Oreochromis niloticus: one gene and its partners. The protein of the gene in region 3 binds, or shares a complex with, the protein of the main gene of each other region. Links are inferred from orthologs where the notes say so. Each region holds a gene or a part of one and is shown on either strand. Other genes may lie near its edges.

What was found. Proteins that work in one complex are often made in the same cells at the same time.
Region 1: the proteins of tubgcp4 (region 3) and tubgcp3 are in contact, whole or in part, in a cryo-EM structure (PDB 7QJ0), measured with the Homo sapiens proteins. The link is inferred for Oreochromis niloticus from reciprocal best matches to the Homo sapiens genes TUBGCP4 and TUBGCP3. Residues at the interface, in NP_001273343.1 of Homo sapiens: His35, Pro36, Ser37, Glu38, Ser40, Val41, Arg44, His116, Leu117, Ser118, Ser120, His121, Tyr124, Phe125, Asp127, Gln128, Leu131, Pro134, Lys159, His160, Cys162, Gly163, Gly164, Leu165, Pro166, Arg169, Leu630, Ser631; in NP_006313.1 of Homo sapiens: Arg252, Asp253, Tyr256, Gln259, Ile261, Asp262, Lys264, Arg305, Ser312, Leu313, Arg315, Leu319, Gln322, Ser323, Cys325, Ala326, His329, Arg333, Tyr336, Arg337, Ser340, His343, Ser344, His424, Pro425, Tyr593, His595.
Region 2: tubgcp4 (region 3) and nme7 share a complex: the UniProt entries of both Homo sapiens proteins name them as parts of the gamma-tubulin ring complex. The link is inferred for Oreochromis niloticus from reciprocal best matches to the Homo sapiens genes TUBGCP4 and NME7.

The regions. Positions count from the first base shown.
Region 1 is NC_031986.2:12,174,892-12,181,858, reverse strand, and holds the start of tubgcp3 (gamma-tubulin complex component 3), read left to right. Parts: upstream 1-3,867; 5' UTR 3,868-3,999; coding exon 4,000-4,075; intron 4,076-5,124; coding exon 5,125-5,232; intron 5,233-6,049; coding exon 6,050-6,117; intron 6,118-6,698; coding exon 6,699-6,776; intron 6,777-6,967. Other genes in the region: atp11a (probable phospholipid-transporting ATPase IH), read right to left, coding at 2,364-2,408. UniProt on the Homo sapiens protein: Component of the gamma-tubulin ring complex (gTuRC) which mediates microtubule nucleation.
Region 2 is NC_031986.2:33,233,016-33,240,053, forward strand, and holds the start of nme7 (nucleoside diphosphate kinase homolog 7), read right to left. Parts: upstream 3,101-7,038; 5' UTR 2,814-3,100; coding exon 2,811-2,813; intron 590-2,810; coding exon 488-589; intron 287-487; coding exon 120-286; intron 1-119. Other genes in the region: zgc:172121 (homocysteine S-methyltransferase 1), read left to right, coding at 3,375-3,533, 5,351-5,418, 5,493-5,650, 5,729-5,832, 6,473-6,655, 6,738-6,943. UniProt on the Homo sapiens protein: Possesses an intrinsic kinase activity. Displays 3'-5' exonuclease activity with a preference for single-stranded DNA. Does not seem to have nucleoside diphosphate kinase activity.
Region 3 is NC_031965.2:1,219,015-1,226,425, forward strand, and holds the start of tubgcp4 (gamma-tubulin complex component 4), read right to left. Parts: upstream 3,029-7,411; coding exon 2,951-3,028; intron 1-2,950. Other genes in the region: cdkn2aip (CDKN2A-interacting protein), read left to right, coding at 3,027-3,186, 3,829-4,078, 4,165-4,289, 5,355-5,944. UniProt on the Homo sapiens protein: Component of the gamma-tubulin ring complex (gTuRC) which mediates microtubule nucleation.

The DNA of each region.
Region 1 (6,967 bases), on a different chromosome or scaffold from region 3:
AAGAAACTGATTTTACCACCACGATCCACACCCTATAGCAGAGCAAAAGGTAACAAACAGGTACAAAGCAAACCTAGTTAAACCTGTTTAGTTCATTTGTACTTTCCCTCTGCAAGCCTGTAACATAACACAGAAAGTTTTGGCACAATCGCAATAATAGAATGTACTGTGACTTCTACTGACATCGCACAAGACCGATGGCACAGCTTTTTAAACACAAGGCGGTAGATTATCCACAGTACAGATATATTTTTCATCATGCGTCCACTCTAAACGTTCCTCACACCACCTCATTTAAAGAAACAATGAGCCTTGACACAATATTTACTTTTTTTTAGAACAAAAATGCACTGTAGGTAACCCAATACTGTCAGTTGCATTCTGTTTGCACAAAAACATTGATTTATTTATAGAGTGAATAACTAAAATTTCAGTACATGCACACTGGGCCTTTTAATGTTTCTGTGTGAAGCATCATAATTAACAAATTCACACAACCTCAATTCTGATCTTTGGCTGCTTTTTTAAAATGTTTACCGCACGTGTTGGCATGTTAATAGAAACACACACTAACATTTAATGATGAAAACTCTCTCATAGTTCAGTTCAGTTTATTGTTGAGCTATTGTGAAATCACAGGGATCCTTTATCAGACTGTAAAATCTGTCATGGTTGTTACGTCTATTTGTGAAACAAATCTCAACATGCCCAAAGCCATGAGACTCAAAGGGGACTGGTTTCTGAATTACAGCCACAAACGAGTCTATACATGAAATAATTAGAAAACTCAGAAGATGTGTACATGACTAAGATACCAGGCATATAATTACTGTGTGTACATCTCATTAGAAACACCTGAAAATTAAACCAATTATCATATTTAAATACTCTACAAACATTTGTTATTAGTATGTTTTTAGCAGCCTGTTCGTACCACAGGCTCTTTACATCATAGCAGAAATGGTATAAAGCCTGAATTTACATTTAGCTTCACTTTACAGATGTGGTCACAGGGAGAATCCTTCTTCTGACAAACAGATGAATGTTCCCGACCCTGATCTTAAGTATTCAGCAGCCTCTTTCCATCACAGCAGCAATGCAATCAATTTAGCCCTAACCCATTTACCTAAAGCATTTATCCAGACCAATTACAGCAGCAGACCTCATCAGCATCCCACATCCTACACCAGTCACCGGCTTCTCTCTTCATGCTTCTAGCTACATGGCTCCATTTCACCCTCCACACAGCAGGGAATTGTATTTAATCAGCTATTTGCAACAGTTGGGAGGCAGTGCCTAAGCTTCAGCTGAGCACGGAGCTGGGGTATAAACCTCACTGGCTCTCATGTGAGCAGGGCTCGCACTGTCTGGATTATTGTCAAGCACATTACTGCCGAGCCTAATGTAACCCATATAGATGCTGCCCATCGATTTGACTAGCAGGGAGAAAACAACTGGATTACATAATTCATGTTCCATTTTGTTCTACTGGGAGGTAGCATAATAAATGAGACTGAGTGGCAACGATGACATGAATGATAATAGGTGCCTGTCTGCATTTCTTGGCATGTTCTGTCATGAGCAGATAGGTAATCACCCACCCCCCACTTACCGATACTGTGAGGTGACTCAACCTTTCATTCATTCAAATCACACCGTGTTTGTTGTTTAAAGTTGTCTGAACAGTATCTGCGAGAGTACTTGGAACAATTTTGTAGATACCAAATAATATCTCTCTCTCATTTCGACATATGTATATATATACATATATATATATGTATATATATATTTTTTTTTAAATGTTTTTCAGGACTAACAGATATGTGAAGAGCTTATTATTTAACACATGCTTCAAAATAAATAGCTGATATATATTTAAAGAATATCAGTGAAAGGTGCATTTTACATGTGCTTTCACTCTTTCAGAATTAAGTGGGGAAAGATCAGAGTAGTGGGGATCTAGTGTCATTTGTGGAGCAATGAACTTTAAAAAAAGTAACTTAAAACTGCCGAAATGTCATTGTTGAAGTCGAAATAAAGGGAAATGGGGAAAGAAAAAGTTAAAAATATATAAGTTGATAAAGGTTAATTAGTCACACGATTTTTTAAGTGTCGGTCAGTTTCCCAACCACTCCTCATTGAATTGCTTTCCACTCCCTTTATTGAAACCTAATCCTCTGAGAGCCGCTTCCTTGGAATTTAAACCAACAGTTATAACAAAAAAAGTTCACAGGTCTGATTTAAAATGGAAATAGCTTTGGTTTGTAGGCAACTAGTCCCACATGTTAATGTGAACATAAGTGTATTTAATTTAAAAAAAAAAAAAAAAAAAAAAAAAAAGGAAAAAGGAAAAACAAACTTACGTATCGGCTGATAAGAGTACGCAGAGTGCTGAAATCCATCCCCATTCTGTTCCTCTTCCCTCTCCGGACACTTCTTCTGCTCTCTGTCTTTTTCTCCTCCAAAGGTTATTTTTACTGCGGGCGCTAGCTTCTTTTTAATTCTACTCCTCTGTCCATGACTTTCTCTTCTCCCCCTTCTTCTTCTTCTGAATTGGAATAAAAAGGACTCGCTTCCAAACTCACCTACGGACCCCGTGACGGGCTTTAAACGGGGGTAGTGACTGTCTGTGCGTCTTCTCCTACAGTTTGAAGGCAATTCACACGGGTACCGAGCAGCTCCTCCTAAAGACTAGAAGCCAAACTAATATCCAGCTCTCTCGCGCTCCCTCTCTCTCTCCCCCCTCTGCGCGTGTACTAATAATCTTCTTGTCTCGCGCCGCGGCCAAAGGAGATTTTCTTTCATGTACGTCACGCGGAGCCAGGTGGTGGCTTTGGAACCGGGGGTGAAGGCATGCGCGCTCTAGTGTTTGTGAAGAGTAATTATTGATTGGGTGTCTCAGTTAACTGTGGGATATTTAGGGGATTTTTTCAGGCGCCGCAGAATTAAATTTAACTTAAAATAAAATAAAACAAAACAGCCCGGTGCTGTCCATAGATATGGTGCTGAAACCATTACATAAAATGTCAAAAATACACATAACTTTCAGCATAAGACTCATCTCATTTATTTATTTATTTAGTTGTTTGTTTATTACTTGGGTTAACTAAAGTTTCGTGATACAACTAATAACTCATTTGAAAGGCAAAATTTCTATTCATTTGCATCTCAAATCTCACCCACTTTTTCAAGCTCGGTTTAAAATGAGAAGAGATTTTCATAATATTTTAGAATCATTATTACAAGTTATTACTGCTGTCGTGACGCATCGGTTTGTAACAGGCAGGTCAGCGGGGTCAGAACAAAATAATTCATGGCACCACGTTTCAGGAGGGAAATATTTTCATCCACTTGTCCGCGCCCTGTTTCCTGGAGACGCTTTTCGGCGGGTTCTGTTGAAAGTCCGCCGTAAAAATAGAAATAATAACAACGGTTTCCTGTTAGAACCTTCAAAATAAAACCTACGTGATGGATTTTGGTTTGAACTGTAACAACTTTATTAATGATATGTCATAAATAGGCTTTTAGTTATTTTGCTATTTCTGCCATTCATTATTTATTTATTAATGGGACTGGTAGATAATTAAACATCCGGCATACATGTTGCACCTTTGGCCTTACTTACCAGTCAAAAGGGGTTTTTTACATTACAAGTTCCCCTTACATATTAATTTATCTGGTTATCTTGTCTTCCTTGTCTTTCTTGACACAGTATGTATTATCGTCTTGTTATTTTTTTGCGCAACAGTGCTTCTAATTTTGATTTGTACATTATTAATTAGCCTTCGTTAGTGTTGTGCAAGTTTTTAACGAAATAGGTAAGAAACTTTGTGCTTTTATTTTGAAGGCAAATGGCGCTGGTCGTTGGCAAATTCTTCCTAGCTTGCCTGAAGTTGTCAAAATGGCGTTGCTCGTAGCGGGGGATTGGAGTTAGTTCATATTATTCAGTCACATTTATTCATTTATTGGGGAACACACTGCCCATTTGCCACGGACAGCATGGCAACCCTGGATCAGAAATCTCCAAACGTCCTTCTCCAAAGCCTCTGCTGCAGAATCACGGGGAAGAGCGAAGGTACATCCATTACTGCTAGCAAGCTTCGCGCTACTGCACTACTGTAGTAGTCAGGAATTGCCAAACCTAACCTCATTCAAAAAATCAATTTTTTGTTGTTTCGCGTCCTTTTATTAATCATACATGAGTCACACGAAGCAGTATGTGAGTGTTGAACTTCCAGTGGCAAATTCGGCATTAATATTTCACATTAGACCGCTCTGATTCTTCTGTTTATTAAACGTTTTAAGCAGCGGGCGCCGACTCACCCGGTTTGTTTTGCAGACTGAATATTGTAGAAAACGGTTGAAGTTTTACTTAAATAACTGCTGCTCAGTCTTTCGGGCAACTGCCGAATTGAAGATATGATTTTATTAATTTCTTAAGGCCTTCAGGAGTCAACATGTCACTATAATGTCAAATTTAAATTTATATTGAGATAAAATATATTGATTTCTTTTTATGTGGCTATCGCTTTAGCTGTGTTGAAAAACGGCACGTAGCGGGGGCTCGGTTCGCGTGTCTGTCAGCCAATTGGCTTGGCCAGATGCTGCACATCCAGCTGAACAGCTTCACGGTGCTTCCACGAGTCGCTGTCGTACACCGTTACTTTTGCTCAAATAAAGTGCCTTTCTCGGTTATCTGTGAGATTGCTAGCCACTTAGCTCTGATTCTAATCTGTGTGGTAAATTGGATGCAGTTGCCTGGCTAGCTGTAGGCCCCTGTTGTAGATAGAGACAGAAGCCGTGTTTTTTTTAGTCACTTTTGATTAAAGGCCCAAAACCTTTGCAGTTGGCAATTGCAATGAAAAATAGCTTTTAAAATCTGTATCCAAAGTGTTAGTAACTGTCCCATCATGCATTATCCTTATTAAAGTAATGGCAAATCTGCACTCTCCTGGTCTGTAGGTTCATTTTGTTATATCCTGCTTGTGCTTTTGGAAAAGAAGTAAAACATTATAAGTAAAGTAATGATGTAACAGGGGGAAAAAAAATCCCCCAGTCAACACACTGTCATTTGTACATTCCTTCAAGCTGTTAGTCATGTCTTGATATTTGTTTTTTTTCCAGCTGAAGTTGCCCACCAGTTCCAGTACGCAGTACGAGTCATTGGCAGTAACTATGCTCCCACTATTGAACGAGATGAGTTCCTAGTGTCAGAGAAGATCAAGAAAGAGTGTGAGTGGCATTTGGATTGATGCTTTCCTCCCTCCCTCTGTGAAAGTAAATCCATTATAATCCACCGTATATTACTTCATTTAGTCATTGTGACATCTGATCCCCTTATGTCAGAATGCCAGCTTTAATACATGTGCTGGAAAATCTTTATTCCACCATACTACAGAATCCTATTTGACTTAAATGGGAGCAAGGTCACACCATTAGTGGGAAAACATTGATCCAAGCTTTGCTGCAGACTGTAAAACCAAAATAGCACAGCACTTACTGTACAGCATTTATTTATCCCAGGTGGACTTATCACAACAAGTTTTTGCTTAGTCTGTGTGTTTTTTAATTGCAACATTGCCACAAAAGCAATAACTGGATATTTTATATTGGTTAATGATGTGAAACAGTCAGACATTTAAATGAGATTAATTTGAGTGAGTTTAGCATATGAAATAATGTATTCTAGTAACTACTAACGAAATAGCATTTGTCCTGCAGCTCTAAATGCCAGCAGTGACGGGGTGTACCAGAGCTGGAGGGCTGGTTGTCAATATGAGGGCAGTTATAAATACAAACACAGTAACTTTGGGCTTTCAGAAGGGCTCTGCAGTCTGCTGGCTTTCTTTTTGAACTTCCACAATACATTTCCTACTTTTCTTTGTCTTGGTCTGCAGTTTGAAACAATATCCTGTCTGTGGAAAGTTTCTTTCTGTTATTTAAAAACCTGTTTGGCACAGGAGCATTTCCAGCTCTGTTCATTTGTTAAATGAGCCATTCATGGAGGGAGACACGACACCTAACACAATCGGTCTTAATGCTCTTGCAGTGCTGAAGCAGCGGAGAGAAGCGGATGCAGCTCTGTTCTCGGAGCTGCACAGGAAACTTCAGACACAGGTTGGTATTTGGATTTCTCTCTGAAAGGTATTATTAACCACAGAGGTATTAAAGCTTTAATGGAACAATTTCCCACTTGACTCATGATACAGCCTGCTTGCATAAAACAGAGGCCTGTTTAATTTGGTTCAGAGTAAGCCTCTGAAGGGCTGATAACACAGTACTGGTCATTAATTGTATGTTAATTAATTTATTTATTAATATGTCTCACCAGACGCCACAGTCACCCCTCCAGATAATAATACTGTTTTGTTTATTAAATGAAAGAGTCTTCCAAAGCATGCTTTTTGTCCTGTCTCACTCCCCTCACCCCTACTCGATCATGGCAGATGGCCGCTCCTCCCTGAGCCTGGTTCTGCTGGAGGTTTCTTCCTGTTAAAAGGGAGTTTTTCCTTCCCACTTTCACCTAGTGCTTGGCCATAAGGGGTTGTCTGATTGTTGGGGTTTTCTCTGTATTGATTTAGGGTCTTTACCTTAAAACGCTTTGAGGTGACTGTTGTTGTGATTTGGCGCTATGTAAATGAAATCGAATTGAACTGATTTGAAGGTGGTATTTTTTTATTCTGTTTTCCTGTTTGCAGGGTGTTCTAAAGCATCGCTGGTCGGTTCTCTACTTGTTGCTTAGCCTTTCTGAAGACCCCCGCAAACCATCCAGCAGGGTGAGGAACACACACACACTTAAAAACTCTTAAAAGCTTTTAGAATAGAGTAACTTTGCATGAATCAGAGTTAAAAGTCATTCTTATATATCTTACACTGGCCCTCACCCCAGGTGAGGTTTCATCAGATTGGCTACCCCTTTACAAACAGATGATCTGAACTGCAGATGGTGGAAGCTTCAGTGCTTATA
Region 2 (7,038 bases), on a different chromosome or scaffold from region 3:
TGTCTGTCAGTAGGTTACAGTTAAAGGATTTATTTGTAAGGCCATAACTTTCCAAATAGATCAATCATGTCTACATGGGTAGACACACCCCCAAATGCAAGTTAGATGAATGATCATACCTTTCTTTTTTACTGCCGAGTTTGTTTGCTGTGTACTGATCCCCGTAATCGATCAGATGTAGCTGTCGTGAGAACACGTTCACTCGATTCCCAATAAATAAGTCCTCCTGATGGATGTCATCGTATCTGGTCCTTCTCAGAAATATCCGCTGGTTCTTTACATCGAACTGTGAAACAGGTATATTTTTCAGAAATGCTAAAGAAAAAATCTGAAATTTTCATCAATATAGAGTTAATTAAAACAAATAAGCTATTTACAATTTCCATTACAAGGTATTCATATTCTGGATTAAAAAAAGAACATTCATAAACACACCTTCAGGCAGAAAAAAGAGAGACAAAAAGTAAGCACTGGGGTAAAAGCGTACCATTTCTACTGAGCCATCTCTGGGGTAGTAAAACAGTTGATAACGCCGCAGGAGGGCGGAGGTGGGGTCATACCACTCTGTAAGAAAGGCAAACCGGTCCTCCTGAAAATAAATAAATAAATATAACTTCGATATTAAGCTTCTTTCTGCAAAGGAGAATTTCTGGCAACCCCAAAAAAGCCAAAAGAAAATCAACTGATTCTTTTTTCACCCACATGATTAATTTCCTCCAGCATATTAGACATTTCTCATTATAAAATGATCAAAAATAACACAAAATTGACAATTTATTTCAAAAAACTGAAACTAACTCACTTATGAGGACAAATCATGTGTGTTTTTTCAACCCCAAAGGCCCAGTTTGAGCCAGGAAAACCCTGAATTTGTGCCAACAAATTAAACATACTGAGCTTTTAAAAGGTCACCATGTCGCCTGAAACCACAGGCCAATGTTCAGGTGAATATGCAAACCTCACAGATGTAAACTGGGAGGCACGAATCCACACAGCTCAGGTTTATTTTTACATTTTGGTACATTTCCACAAATGTGTTTATTAACAGAAAATGAATGCAGTACATAAGGTGGTCAATATTTACAGAATCTGGCTTTTTACAAACCAAAGGCTTCTGTTATTATTAAGCACAGAAATGTTATGACTCAATATGATCAGGTATGCTCACCTGACTAGTAGCAGACTTTATTCAGTTCACCTTGTCAACCAAAAATAATTCAGTAAACACGGATAACGATCGGTTAGCACTGTTGCCACTGAGCAACACAAGCCTGGATTTGGTTTGCAGGTCACTTCCTGCAGATCAGACCTTTCACCAAACGAAAACATTTGGAGCATCACAAAACCAAATATACCACAGAGAAGATCATTTTTTGGGTTTTCTACAGCGAATAAAATATGGGCTCATGAGATTTGCAAATCATTGCATTCATCCATGCATTGCATTCATCATTCTGCCAGGTCTCTCTTGGAAATGAGATTTTAAATCTCAATGAGATTTTTACCTGAATAAATAAAGGACTAATAATAATAAAAAAAATCCATCTTTAGGACATTGAAGTTCGTGTTTCCACACTCCTTATCTTCCTCATGCCGTTTCCTATCAAGATTAAGCAGCTAGGAAGACACAGGAAGTGATTTCACAGACTATTTCGCTGCAGTGATTGTCCTAATCACCACCAGGCCAATGTTATCATGTTTAAAGGATGATTTGCTGAAGGTGTTTCCTGGTCTACTGCTCATCATTAATCCAATTGGTTTTGCAAAGAAAACGCTCCCTATCTCTTGCACCACTGCTTCATGAAGCCTGGCGATGATCCGGGTCTTATCCCGAACAAGCAAAACATCAGTGCTAAATCTACTATTACTTTTCTGAGTCTGTATATTCAAAGCAGTGCTCCATCAATGTGGGATGGCACCACTGGAAAGGCACAGAGGCAGTAAAAAGTAGGATGAATGAATACAATTTCTTCAAGGACAAATAAATCAGTAACAGTGTTTTGGTGCTGTTAGTCTGATTAATTAAGAAGAATTCAAAATGGGTTATTTTTTCATAGTAAATGACTGCCCTCCTCCCCCTCTTTTAAGCCACTCTATATCTCCTATTTCTTCGATTAGCTCTTAAAATACCAACAGTCTTATTGCACTTCAGGCTATTTACTTTGTAATGTTTTATGTTTTCAGTTATTTTTAACATGCTCATAATTTTCTTCCTCTCATATTCTGTTTCATTGCATTTTGTTTTCTGTAAAGTATCTGGACCCACCTCCTACAGGTGCTACACAAATATAATTTGATTGATTGATTAACCAGTCTGCAGTTTAGCATTAATCAGTCGTCTAACACACCATGTGAAAGATGAGGATGTCTCTCACAACTAAAAGCTCAGACCATCTCCTCCACTCAGCCTAGTTAATAGAATAAACAGAAAACATGGGCACCAGCTGAATGGATAGAAACTCTTTGAGCAGAAACATGTTTGATGCCAGGTTTACCAGCATTAAAAGCACCTGCTCAGCTACACCTTTAGCTAATTTAATCACAGCTAATGTTCACCGTTAGACGTTAACCACACAGCTACCTGTAGTATCTGTAGTTAAACTGTGTATAAGCCATAAATGATATTTTTAAAGGAGCTAACGGCTAACCCGTTAGCCTGAAGCACTGATGTTTAGAACTGCTCGGCTAGCTTGTGTTTATTATGCTAACGGTAGCAAACAGCAACCTGTTTCAGGCTCTAACGGAAGTTTTTACCTTCACCGAAGCCCTCACGCCCCCCGGTTTGATGACAGGAGGGAACCTTTACTCACCATCTTTTAAAACATCCCTGTAAACTCTGTGTGACAGCGCACTGTTGTCAGCTAGCAAACATTAGCCGTACTTCGTTTCTATAGTAACTGCAGAGGTGCATTCACGTGTTCATGGGAATTCTGACCTTTCAGCACAGTTTTTGTTATTTGTTTTTATACAGACCTTAAAATGTAATATATTAGTCATAAATCATTGGATGGATATCATTAATTAAACTGTATACATGATAATTATAAAGCAGTACAAAAGAAAAGCTGCGCTGTCTTGCTCCAGTGGTGGTTTTTAAAGTAAAGGAGCGAGGCAAGAGTCGGGTTCTGGTGAAATACACTGTGCATTTATTGTGTATGAGGACACCTAGTGGCGGTCTGCTGATGCTGCGAAGAAGTTCAGTTTTCAGCGGCCATAAACGCACCTTTTCATTGCACTGTTACCCGGAAGAACAACATAGTGAAAAATGAAGGATCTGATGTTGCACTTCACTCTCATCTGTGTGAATAATTAAGCTGCCCGGGGGTGTTATTTCAGAGCAGTCAGCGTTAATAACTTGACTGCATGATCTTCTTATGAAAAGCAGTGCAAAGAATTCTCCAGTAAATTTTTTAATGAAGTGTTGCTCCATGGGCTCCTCTGCTCTTCTCACACAGATGGTTAATGATGAAGGGCCATTGATCCTAGATGGTGGACTGGCAACTGATCTGGAAGCGCATGGAGCCAAACTGCAGGTAAATCATAAAAACAACCTGCAACAGGTCACCATTTTCTATTGATTAGACTAATTTAATTTCTCTCTGGAGATGTTTTGTGTCTATTTTCAGTCAATCCATGTCTCCATGGTGGCTGTGCTATTTGTTTTGTAGTTGTGTTACTGACTTATACAAGTAATTTAAAAGTAATTTTAAAGCTGTGGTTCAGAGACCTTAGCCAGGCTTATCAGATCCCAACAAACTAAATATGTGAAAAGTCTGTTTAGTGTTTAATTTCTGTATATTTAAAGTTTTAAACATAAAAACATGTAGCCAAATACTCTGAATAAAGAGAATGTTCAATAAAATAAAATAACATTTGAAGTTAGGATTATTAGGGTTAAATTTAAATACAAGCATTAAAGCAACAGTCTACAGAACAGTGTGTAAGATGTAAATAAAAACATAGTGAAATGACTGCAAATCATGAGCCCATATCTTATTCAAAATAGAACACAGAAAACTGAGTACCATTTTAAGAAAAAAAACATTAACAACAAGGTTATTTTGAAGTTGATGGCAGCAACATATCTATAAAAAAAAGGGTGGGACGAGGCCATGTGTCTGGGAACTGAGGAGAGCAGCTGCTGGACTTATCAGGAGAGGAATGTCATCCCGTTCTGGTCTGATACAGGATTCTAGCTGCTCAGCAGTCCTGAATCTGCTTTGTTGTGTTTTTGGTTTCATGATGCTCCAGACGCTTTGCTTGATGAAAGGTCTGGACTACAGGCCTGCAGTTCAGCCCCCAGACTCAGATTTGATGAAGTATGCTGTTTCCCATCCCCCTGCTGAAATACGCAAGGCCTTCCCCGAAAAAGACGTCACCTGGATGGGAGCATATGTGGCCCTGAGAAGTCCAACCCACTGAATCCTAAAGAGATTCAAAAGTGCACAAAACAAAACAGAAGTTTTTTTTCTTCTTACATTAAGTTTCTTTGTCTACGGCACATCTGTTTGTGAAGTTAGAAAAACTCTGTCCACTCCACCCCAGAAGCTTCCAGTCGTCACCACACCTGCATTTCCTTTCATACGTGCTGGTGAAACTTGTGCGACTTGGGACTTGTTAGTTGCTCACAATGCTTCACCTGGGAGGTAGACTGCAGCTATTCCCTACTTAGAATCACAGCCTGCTGAACTTTAGCGAGTCAGTCAAACCTGAGCATCAAAGGTCCATCAGTGATCTGAGTATACTCTGTATCTTTGCAGAAGAAAATACCTGCAAGGTTTTGTATTTATTTTCAGAGAGATGGTTAAATGACCTGAATATATCCTCTGGCCCTGTTCTCACAGCCTGTCTGTGACTGTGAGTCACTTGATTTTCACAGCTTTTATGTTTTTATTGTAATATCTTTACTGAATTTCCCAAATCTGGCCTCTTGACACATTCCCTCCCTATAATGTAAAAGATAATAATTACAAAAACTAAAAAGATTAAAACTAAAACACTGAAACTAATAAAAATGAAATAAAATGTAAATATTTTCAAACAAAAAAACTGAACGGACTTCAAAACAACGTCAAAATGAAATACAAATAAAAACTAATTAGAAAATATAAAACTATAATAACTCTGAAGGTTGAGATGCTGTAATGTTACTTTCTAGTACATGATCTATAGGGACATGAGTAAAATATCCAATAAATGTTACCAAAACTTGTGTTTTTATTTATGTAAAGTACGTAAAAACGTGAATAGTATTTTTATCTGGTCTTTACAGATCAATTATAACATGTTTTATTAATATTGTTCTGTGAATCTGGACTGAAATTCATGTGTGTGTGTGTTACATATGCAGGGAGACCCTCTGTGGAGCGCCAGGCTTTTGCACACTGATCCTCAGGCCATAAGAGATGCTCATTACAGGTGTGTCCATGCAAAGTGTTGGTAAATAAACTTTCTAGTTTCAGAGTCTTAAATCTGTGTGTGTGTGTGAACAGGTTCCTGCTCAGTGGTGCTGATGTCATCACGACAGCCACATACCAGGCAAGTATCCCAGGATTCATCAGCCACCTGGAGGTGAGCGCTGAACGCGCCAGAGAGCTGCTGATGTCCGGAGTTCACCTGGCCAAAGAGACGGTGAAGGGGTTTGAGTCAGGTAGGAGAGCTTACGCTGAGCTGAGCCGACTCTGGCTGTAAACTGTGATATAATCTCACATTTTATTTCTCTGTAAAGGGCAGAGACGCCCCCTGGTGGCAGGCTCTGTGGGGCCGTACGGGGCCTTTCTGCACGATGGCTCGGAGTACACTGGAGCTTACGCAGAGCAGATGAGTGTTGAAGTAAGTACCCCTCAGCCACGTACTGGACTTTATGCCTGCTTTGAGAAGATTACCCAGAATAGTTGTTTATATCTCCGGTTCTGGTTCTGTTTATATTTTAGGTTTGTTCCATGAAAAATCATTAAGTACCTCCTTTTTTGGGACAATAACTTCAGTATATTTAATGACACTATGACACTTTTTACCTTAATACTATTGCTATTTTCAGAGTTACAAAAAAAATTAAAGCATTTTGAGTACAACAGAGATCAACATTTAAGCTTTGTAAACTAATAATTAGCAGCAAAACTGCAGCAGTTTAACATCTCTGATGCAGGGGAACAAAAACCAGCATAGGTACCCTGGATGTTTTACATATTTTTGGATAATCCACTGGAGAATATTTTAAAACGTGCATTCTGGGTAAACGTTCAGCTCATATTACCATGTAAAAGCATATGAAAGGACTTCTTTTTTACCTATATTGTACTTTGAGTGCCTTAAACTGAAAATATTCACAGTATGAAGGGAACGTTTTGCACGATTCTGAATCCGAGGGGGTCAGATTTGATTATTTATGTTGCCTGATCCTTCTGATGTTGTTCTCAGTAAGTTTATAGATCCATTTACTGCTGAGACAGGTGAGAATAAATGTTCTCAGGTGTCTTTAATCTATTTGAAGGAGCTTAAAGTTTGGCACCGGCCTCAGATTGACTGCTTAGCAGCTGCAGGAGCTGATCTCATCGCCTTTGAGACAATCCCGAGCATCAAAGAGGCGGAGGCTGTGGTGGAGCTGCTGAGGGAGTTTCCAAACTCGAAAGCCTGGCTGTCATTCTCCTGTAAGGTAATCACTGCCGGTGAACAGCAATGGTGAAAGATACATATTAGTTTGTTGTTAGTCACGCAATGACTCACCTCGCCATCAGGACCAGAAGTGTATATCGGACGGCAGCCTGTTCGCTGACGCCGTGCGGGTTGCCAGCAGATCCAGGCAGCTGCTCGCTGTGGGAGTCAACTGCTGTCCTCCAGACGTGGTGGAGCCGCTGCTGGACTCTGCTGGACCACTGCACACCTCAGACATGAGCTGGGTGGTGTACCCTAACAGCGGAGAGGAGTGGGACACTGAGCGGGGGTGAGTCTGAAGCTAAATTAACACACGACTGTCTAAACACCTCACATCAACGTGTTTACATTCGGTAAATACAACATAAATCTACCATAAAAACT
Region 3 (7,411 bases):
TGCATGCATTCCCAATACAGTCAGGCACAAATGCAACCTGGCTGAACACTGTGAACACTGTGACTGGGAGCAGTTGTTACCCCTAATGATTATCTTTGAAACTTGCCTAATAAATGAATTATACACTGAATATTTCAGCCACAACTCACTACCATATGATTCTCCAAAAGCTGATTCTGTTCATCTGGACGTTTTCAGTGGAAGAAACGTTTCGTCACTCATCCAGGTGACGTCTTCAGTCTCAGCTGACTGCAGGTTTCCCCAATCTTATAAACAGTACATTTGCATAATGACTGAAACCAGCCCACTGAAGGAACAATGGGCTGGGAGGTCACCTTCATCATGATTATGCAAATTCTCATGACCATTGATCAACAACCACTGATCAATTGCCATGAGTACCATTCACCGCTACGTCCAGATGAACAGAATCAACTTTTGGAGATTTACTTACCTGGATGATTGAGCATGTATTAGGACATCTATATATGAAGCTGTAAAACAAAGACTGCTAACATTTTTTCTGATACTTCTATTTAAATATAGTCAAGACATTTGTCTGTATTACACTTTTATAACTGCTTACACCATAAAAGAAAGACAGAGTTATGTCAGCTTAGCTCTGACACACAACAGGCACACTCTCCATCTCACACTTTTATTAGAACACATCTGTTTTCTAAACACACAGAATGAGATGTGTACAAGATGTTCCTTCTTTGCCTTTCATAAAAGACATCAAATCAAATCAAATGGCGCTCCCACACACTGTCCTGCTTACAGCTGGAATATTCATTTGAATAGACCTTTTGAAAAAATACCACACCCATTCACCCACTTGTAAATTTTAACTGCAAAAAGCACCAAACACATGGATACAAAACAGACGAGTTTACATGTAAATAACAGCAATGAAAGACAATGTTGCAGCAAAAGGAAGAAGGGAAGTAAGTAATGTTGGTAATTATTTCAATGAGAGCAGAGCTTAAAAACACAAAAAGCCTTTCTCTGGTTTCTAACATAAAATCAGTATAACACAGATCTCCTTTGGGGATCGTGTTAAGCACCAGGAGGATTGCCAGGATTTATACATCAGGGAAACCAAACAACCTCTGGCGAAGAGGATGGCAGATCATCAGGCCAGGACTATTTACGCCTACAGGCCAGTGATGAGGATGTACACATCCTGGACAGGGAGGAACGCTGGTTTGAGCGCAGAGTCAACAAGGCCATTTACATGAAAAGGGAAAGACCATCTCTGAATCGAGGAGGGGTCTGTGTGTGTGGGCTTCCAGTAAACTTCGATGTTGAGGTTGCCATTCTCTTCAATGTGCACAGCACAGTCCAGGAATGGCAAACAGTTATCCTTTGTGTCTTCCCTGGTGAACTTTATGTTTTTATCCACAGCGTTGATGTGAGCAGTGAAGGATTCCACTTCTTGTGTTTTGATTTTGACCCAGGTGTTGTCCACATATCTTTACCAGTGGCTAGGTGCTCTCCTTTTAAAAGAGCCAAGAGCCTCTTCTTCCACTTCCATGTTCCATGTGACCGTGCCGTGCGCACTGAAGGGAATGGAAACCTCAACACTGAAGTTTACTGGAAGCCCACACACACGGACCAGTACCTCCTCTTTGACTCCCACCACCCTCTGGAACACAAACTTGGAGTAATTAGGACCCTACACCACCGGGCAGAACATGTTCCCTCTAAGCCTGAAGGGAAAAAGAAGGAACACACACATGTAAAGGAAGCACTGAAAACATGCGGTTATCCTAACTGGGCGTTTATCAAGTCAGCAAAGAGGCACAGAAAAGAAGATCAGACACCAGCGAGGGAGGATAAGAAAGACAGACGCAACAACATTGTCATCCAACATGTAGCCGGTGTATCAGAGAAACTCAGGAGAGTTTTCTCCAAGCACAACATCCCAGTTTACCTTAGACCCAGCAACACACTCAGACACAAACTGGTTCATCCCAAAGACAAAACTCCAAAACACAGACTGAACAATGTGGTGTATGCTGTACATTGTAGTGAGGAATGCCCAGACCTCTATACTGGAGAGACCAAACAGCCACTTCACAAGCGCACAACATAGAAGAGCCACCTCCACGGGACAAGACTCAGCAGTCCATCTGCATCTAAAGGTCAAAGGTCACTCTTTCGAGGCGCCAATGTTCACATTTTGGACAGCGAGGACAGATGATTTATGTCCACTGTGAGCGACCATCTTTGAACAGAGGCGGTGGTTTACGACACCAACTGTCTGCCATCTATAATCCAGTTTTGAGATCCTTCCCACACGCCTTAACGCCCACTCACATCCTGGGCCATCTGACCTCAGGAAATCACATGATAGGGTGGGGCCAGGTTTCACAATGAGCTCACCCGAAACCCTGGCTGATTGGGACCCACCTTGGCTCATGTGATTAGGTAGAGGATCATCAGGGGGTCCTTTTGTCCCTCTTTGGAGGGGTTACTCCCAAAGAGCTTAAATCTGGGACTCTCCACCATTTGACCCTAGAACTGAAGAAGCTTCTCTACTGAGAGGTGAAACGTCTTCAAGCAACTTAAAGTTTAAGTCCAGACGCTTTTCTATCCAAGATCCTTAGACTACGATGACCTGAATGACTGAGAACCTTCACAGACATGCCTAAATGCACAGATTTGCAGTAATGCGATTGGCTGATACTTGCGTAAACGAACAGGGGTACCTAATAAAAAGGCAGGTGAGTGACGTTTCATCTTGCAGTATTCAAACCTGCCAATTGTCAGTAAGCTATCCTAGCAAAAATGCATATCTTTAATATAGTGCTACCAAAGCTAATAATTTAGCTTATGCATAATTGAATTGTAATAAATTGTCAAGCTTTGACTTGTAACCACATGCATATTAGCTAACATCTGAGTGAAGTTATCGTATCAGAGAACTGCAGTGTTTCCGTGTTACCTGTAAACCTGTTCGTTTGTTCCATGTAAAAATCGTCCCCGGGTATCCGCTCAGCGCCAGTAAGAGCTCGTGAATCATGTCAATGAAACTTAAAGTGTCTGAAATTCAAATTGTAGCGGAGAGATTCCCATTCAGCCACCAAAACAAACCGCCGCCCGAGCCGTCGCAGATTTGTTACGTGAGCGCGAAAAGCATCACGGGAAGAGTGCTGCAGGAGCCGGAGACATCGCTCCACGGTAGTGGAAGAGTCAGGCTTGCGATGTTATTTGTTTTTAAAATCGACAAGAGCCTTTAGCAACTCCACGCGTGCTTCGTTTGGGTTTCAATTAGCTCTGCGAGATGCGTAAACACAAGCCAGCTCATGGGAATTGTAGTTTTTTTCCTGTGCACTAAGATATCGTCGCGAGTCTGGCGTCATCATTCGGTCATGTAACTAGCTGAAGCACATCGCAACGGAGAGCGCTTGGTATGTCGTAGTTACTGTATAAAATACTAACTTTATATTTCCCGTGCAAGCGACGGCAATCCCGTTACTCTCGTTTATGTCTGTGTTTTTGCTGTTAGCGTGTCTTCTGCTGTAGCTAATGTTATTCCACTAGCCGTTTGTCCTAACGTTAGTTCGTGGAGTCGGTTTGTTGGGTCCACTCTGGTATATTTACTAGTTGACACAACAAACGTTAGGCTGCTCTCAGGCAAGTCAGCAGGAAAACACCAGCGGTTTGAAACTAGTAGGGCCACCGCCATTTTACGTCGTCTAACGCAGACCTGTTGAGTTTAAGTGGCATGATTCACGCTAGCACTGCTAACCGCTAACAAATAAATAAGCTGCTGCTAGTTTTCTGTTGTTCTTCTAACCGTAAAACCGTGTCTGAGTGCAGGGATGGCGGGGGAGAGTGGCGGAGAGGACGTGGTTGCAGAGTACCTGGGCCAGAATCCGCAGCTGGCCCAATGGGTGGAAACATTCAGAAGCTACTGTGAGAGCAACAAGCAGTGGGTCGCTCGGAGAGAGTTCATCCTTAGGAACATGGAGGCTTTCCCGACAGTGAAGCCAGGAGTCTCCAGCAGCAGCCTGGACAGGCTGCTCTCTTTGTCCATGGTCTGGGCTAATCACGTTTTCCTGGGCTGCAGGTAGGACACGCTGATGGAGCAGAATGACAAGCTGTGGATGCTCTCCGCTATAATAAGAGTTCATTGTTACCTTTTAAATCCCTCAGCTATCCACAGGCTGTAATGGACAAGATCAAAGAGATGGGAGAAGGGATAAAAGTCCAAGATCCTCCTGTTCACAAAACAACAAAAGATGAATTCACAGCCAGAGGAAAGAGGAGCGCATCAGCTGGTAAGCAGTGCACATGTTTAACATTTCATCTTCACAGGTTACATTTGGGAAAACTACCTGTTATTTAATGGGTCCAGGTTTTTCTGCTGCTGCTTGATAACGACAGAAAATCATAATAATTGATTTTTGAGTGTTTGGCCTGTAGTCTCATACTTCTACCTTCTCTGGAATATTCAGGGTGATATATACATAGGAAACCAATGGTGACAGGTGACATTAACACACCTGTACTGATGATATCATCAAAAACAGCCCGCAAAGATAATATAATACAGCCATGTTGATTTTCCTATAAATTTCATTTAAGGACCGTTTAAGTGCCGGCTGTAGTTGAAATCATTTCCATTGTGTATATCATTTAAAAAGCCCAGTTAACAATGCTTAAAATGCTATTGTGCATTGTGATTGCATTGGATTCAAATACTATTAGTGACTTCCCACTCTGAATTTTCCACTGGAACATCGCCTCAGGTCAGATTTCCAACTCAGAAAGTCGGAGCAGCCCGACCAAGCCTGACTCAACAATCCATGATAGCGGCTGTGAATGCAAACAGCAGTAAATCTGTAATACTTTAAATCTGGGCTGTGACTGTTGTGTGTTTGTGACTAAGCCACACACAGAGCAGGATCTGTCACGAACGGGCTGCAGCGTTTTTAAGTGCAAAAAACAAACACTGCTTGCTAATAATGCACAAACCTCGTCAAGCTTGCTAAGAAGCAAAAGAGATCCTGTCACTCCGACGTGTCAACACGGACATATATGAACACACAGAGTAATATTTGCATTAGTTTCATCCTCCATGATAACAGGTTAAGGTTACCTTGGATGGCTTTTACAAGTGATGTGACTTCAATCTAAGAATAGATTTGACAGTTTTCTGTAGCTCGTTACTGACCAACAAATCCATTTCACTGCTGTTCTCTGTTGCTGTGAGGTTTCAGTGTAATTACCTACGCACAGGGTTTTTTCCCTTTCACACACGCACACCTGAGGCTCTGTTTCCTCATTAAATACAGATTCCTGTGCAGTCAACGTTTTCCTGCCTGCTGTGTCATCTTTTGCAGAGCTTGAGGATGACAGCTGCGTGAAAAGAGCCAAGGCTGGGCCTAATGAGCTCGACAGCAGACCTGCGCTCAGGACGGCGGCGCGGCCTGCGAGTCAGAAGCTGGGACCACCTCCACAGGCTCCAGCAGAGCACCAGCCCTTCTTCAACCGCCTGTACAAGGCTGTGGCGTGGAAACTGGTGTCAGCCGGGGGCTTTGGGCCCAACTTGGACCATTTTGAAATCCTTCGCAGCTGCGTGGAGTCGTGCAAGCAAACCCTGACGTGCGTGTTTGTGCCGCTGAAGGACATCACGGGCCTCCCCGCGGGCCGCACACAGAAGGAAGGCCACGTGTGTGAAATTCGCTGTCAGACTGTTTTCATGGGCACAGGATACGGGCGCGACGAGGCCGCTGCCAGAGCCATGGCTTCCAAAGAAGCCCTTAAAGTATTTCAGGGGCGGAAAGTCACTGTAAAGATCTGTCGGCGGAGGTACAAAGGGAAAGACGTGGATGATCTGATGCTGTTGGACGAACAGCCCCGCAGTCAGGGCTTTCCTCCTGCTCTCAGCTACCCTTTTCAGGACGAGCAGCTGGAAGACAGTTCATCGTAGAAGCTTTGACTGGGTGGAGCTACTGAAGGCGTTCACGCCTGTGTCGGGACCAGACTGTTATGCAGCTGACCATCGTAGCTAAGCCCAGAGAATATTAGGTAACTTGGAGCATTAACTGTCATGGTGCATTTCACACAATACCTTCATTTCTTAATAATCTTACGCGTGCACGATCACCAGAACAATAAAACTAGTCCCAAGTCTGCAAAAAAAACAAACCCACTCCACTGCTCCTGATATTTTCAGCCATTATCTGAGTTGTAAAGACAGCAAACAGCGAACCAAAGTGTGTGGAGTGAGCGCCTGTGGCACTGGTTAAAAGTCCAGCAGCCACCAATGAGCAAAACTGCAATATTACACTGTTTGTGACTGTTTATGACAAAAGCAGTTTGGCCAGTAGTTCGTTCCCCCTTCAGTTCATTCCTGTGTCACAGCTTTTTATCTGCTGATTTCATGAGGGTAACACAGGAGTACATGAGGTTTTATTTGATTGGTAGGAGTTGGGTTTTGGTTTTTTAGGTTCCAACTCACAACGTACAAGCAAAGTGAGTCACACGGACTCAACAATTACAGCTTCAATAACCTGGCAGGGTAACGATTCTTTTCTAAACATGATGTACTGTTCCTTACTGAGAATATTAAAAAAACATCAGACTGTGGCGCACCAGTCTGCATTTAGTTTAGTTGTTTCTTGTTTCAGTGATAAATGTCAGTCTTTTCCTTTAATCGTACTCGTGAAGGGTTGCAATGACATTGCTATTCTGTCGTGAGCTGCACTTAAAGAGGGGGGGCCTCTTACGCTCATTCCCATCTCCATATTTAGATTCTGTAACATAATTCACAGTCATTCTTATTTGTTTCAGCCCCTCCCCCTGTCTGAAACCAGCTGATTCAGCTCCTTTCCCTCTCAGCCAGCTGTATTCTAATTGGCTGCCCTTCATGAACAGCAGGATGATCAGTGTGCTGTGTGTCTGACAGAGCCACGCCTGCTCTCGCTGATGTCACACAGAGCCAAGAGGAGAAAAACGGGCAGCTTTTGGCTCACACGGTGTTACTTGCACATTCCCTGGTTTTTCTAAACACTGGTTTTATTGTTAATATGAGTGTCGCCCACTGTAACAGTATATGTGATATCATATTAGGAGAGCAGGGCTGCACCTTATTGAATTGATCACATTATTCTTAATTTTTCGATTAGCTTGGAGAAACAGTGCGTTGATTATGTCTTAGTTCAGACAAACTAAATCTGAAATCCTGGTTACAGTCATGGTTACTGGTTTCCAGTTCTTCATGGAACTGGCATCCCAGTGATTCAAAAACATGTCCACACGGACTTAACTGAAGATTGTTTTTTTTATTATTCAGACAGAAACTGAGGGAGACTCTGCCAACTACAGTACCTGTTTGACTGTAAATGCTACTGCTTTTCTTTGATATTATTATAAATAAGTTGATGTTAAAAAAGAG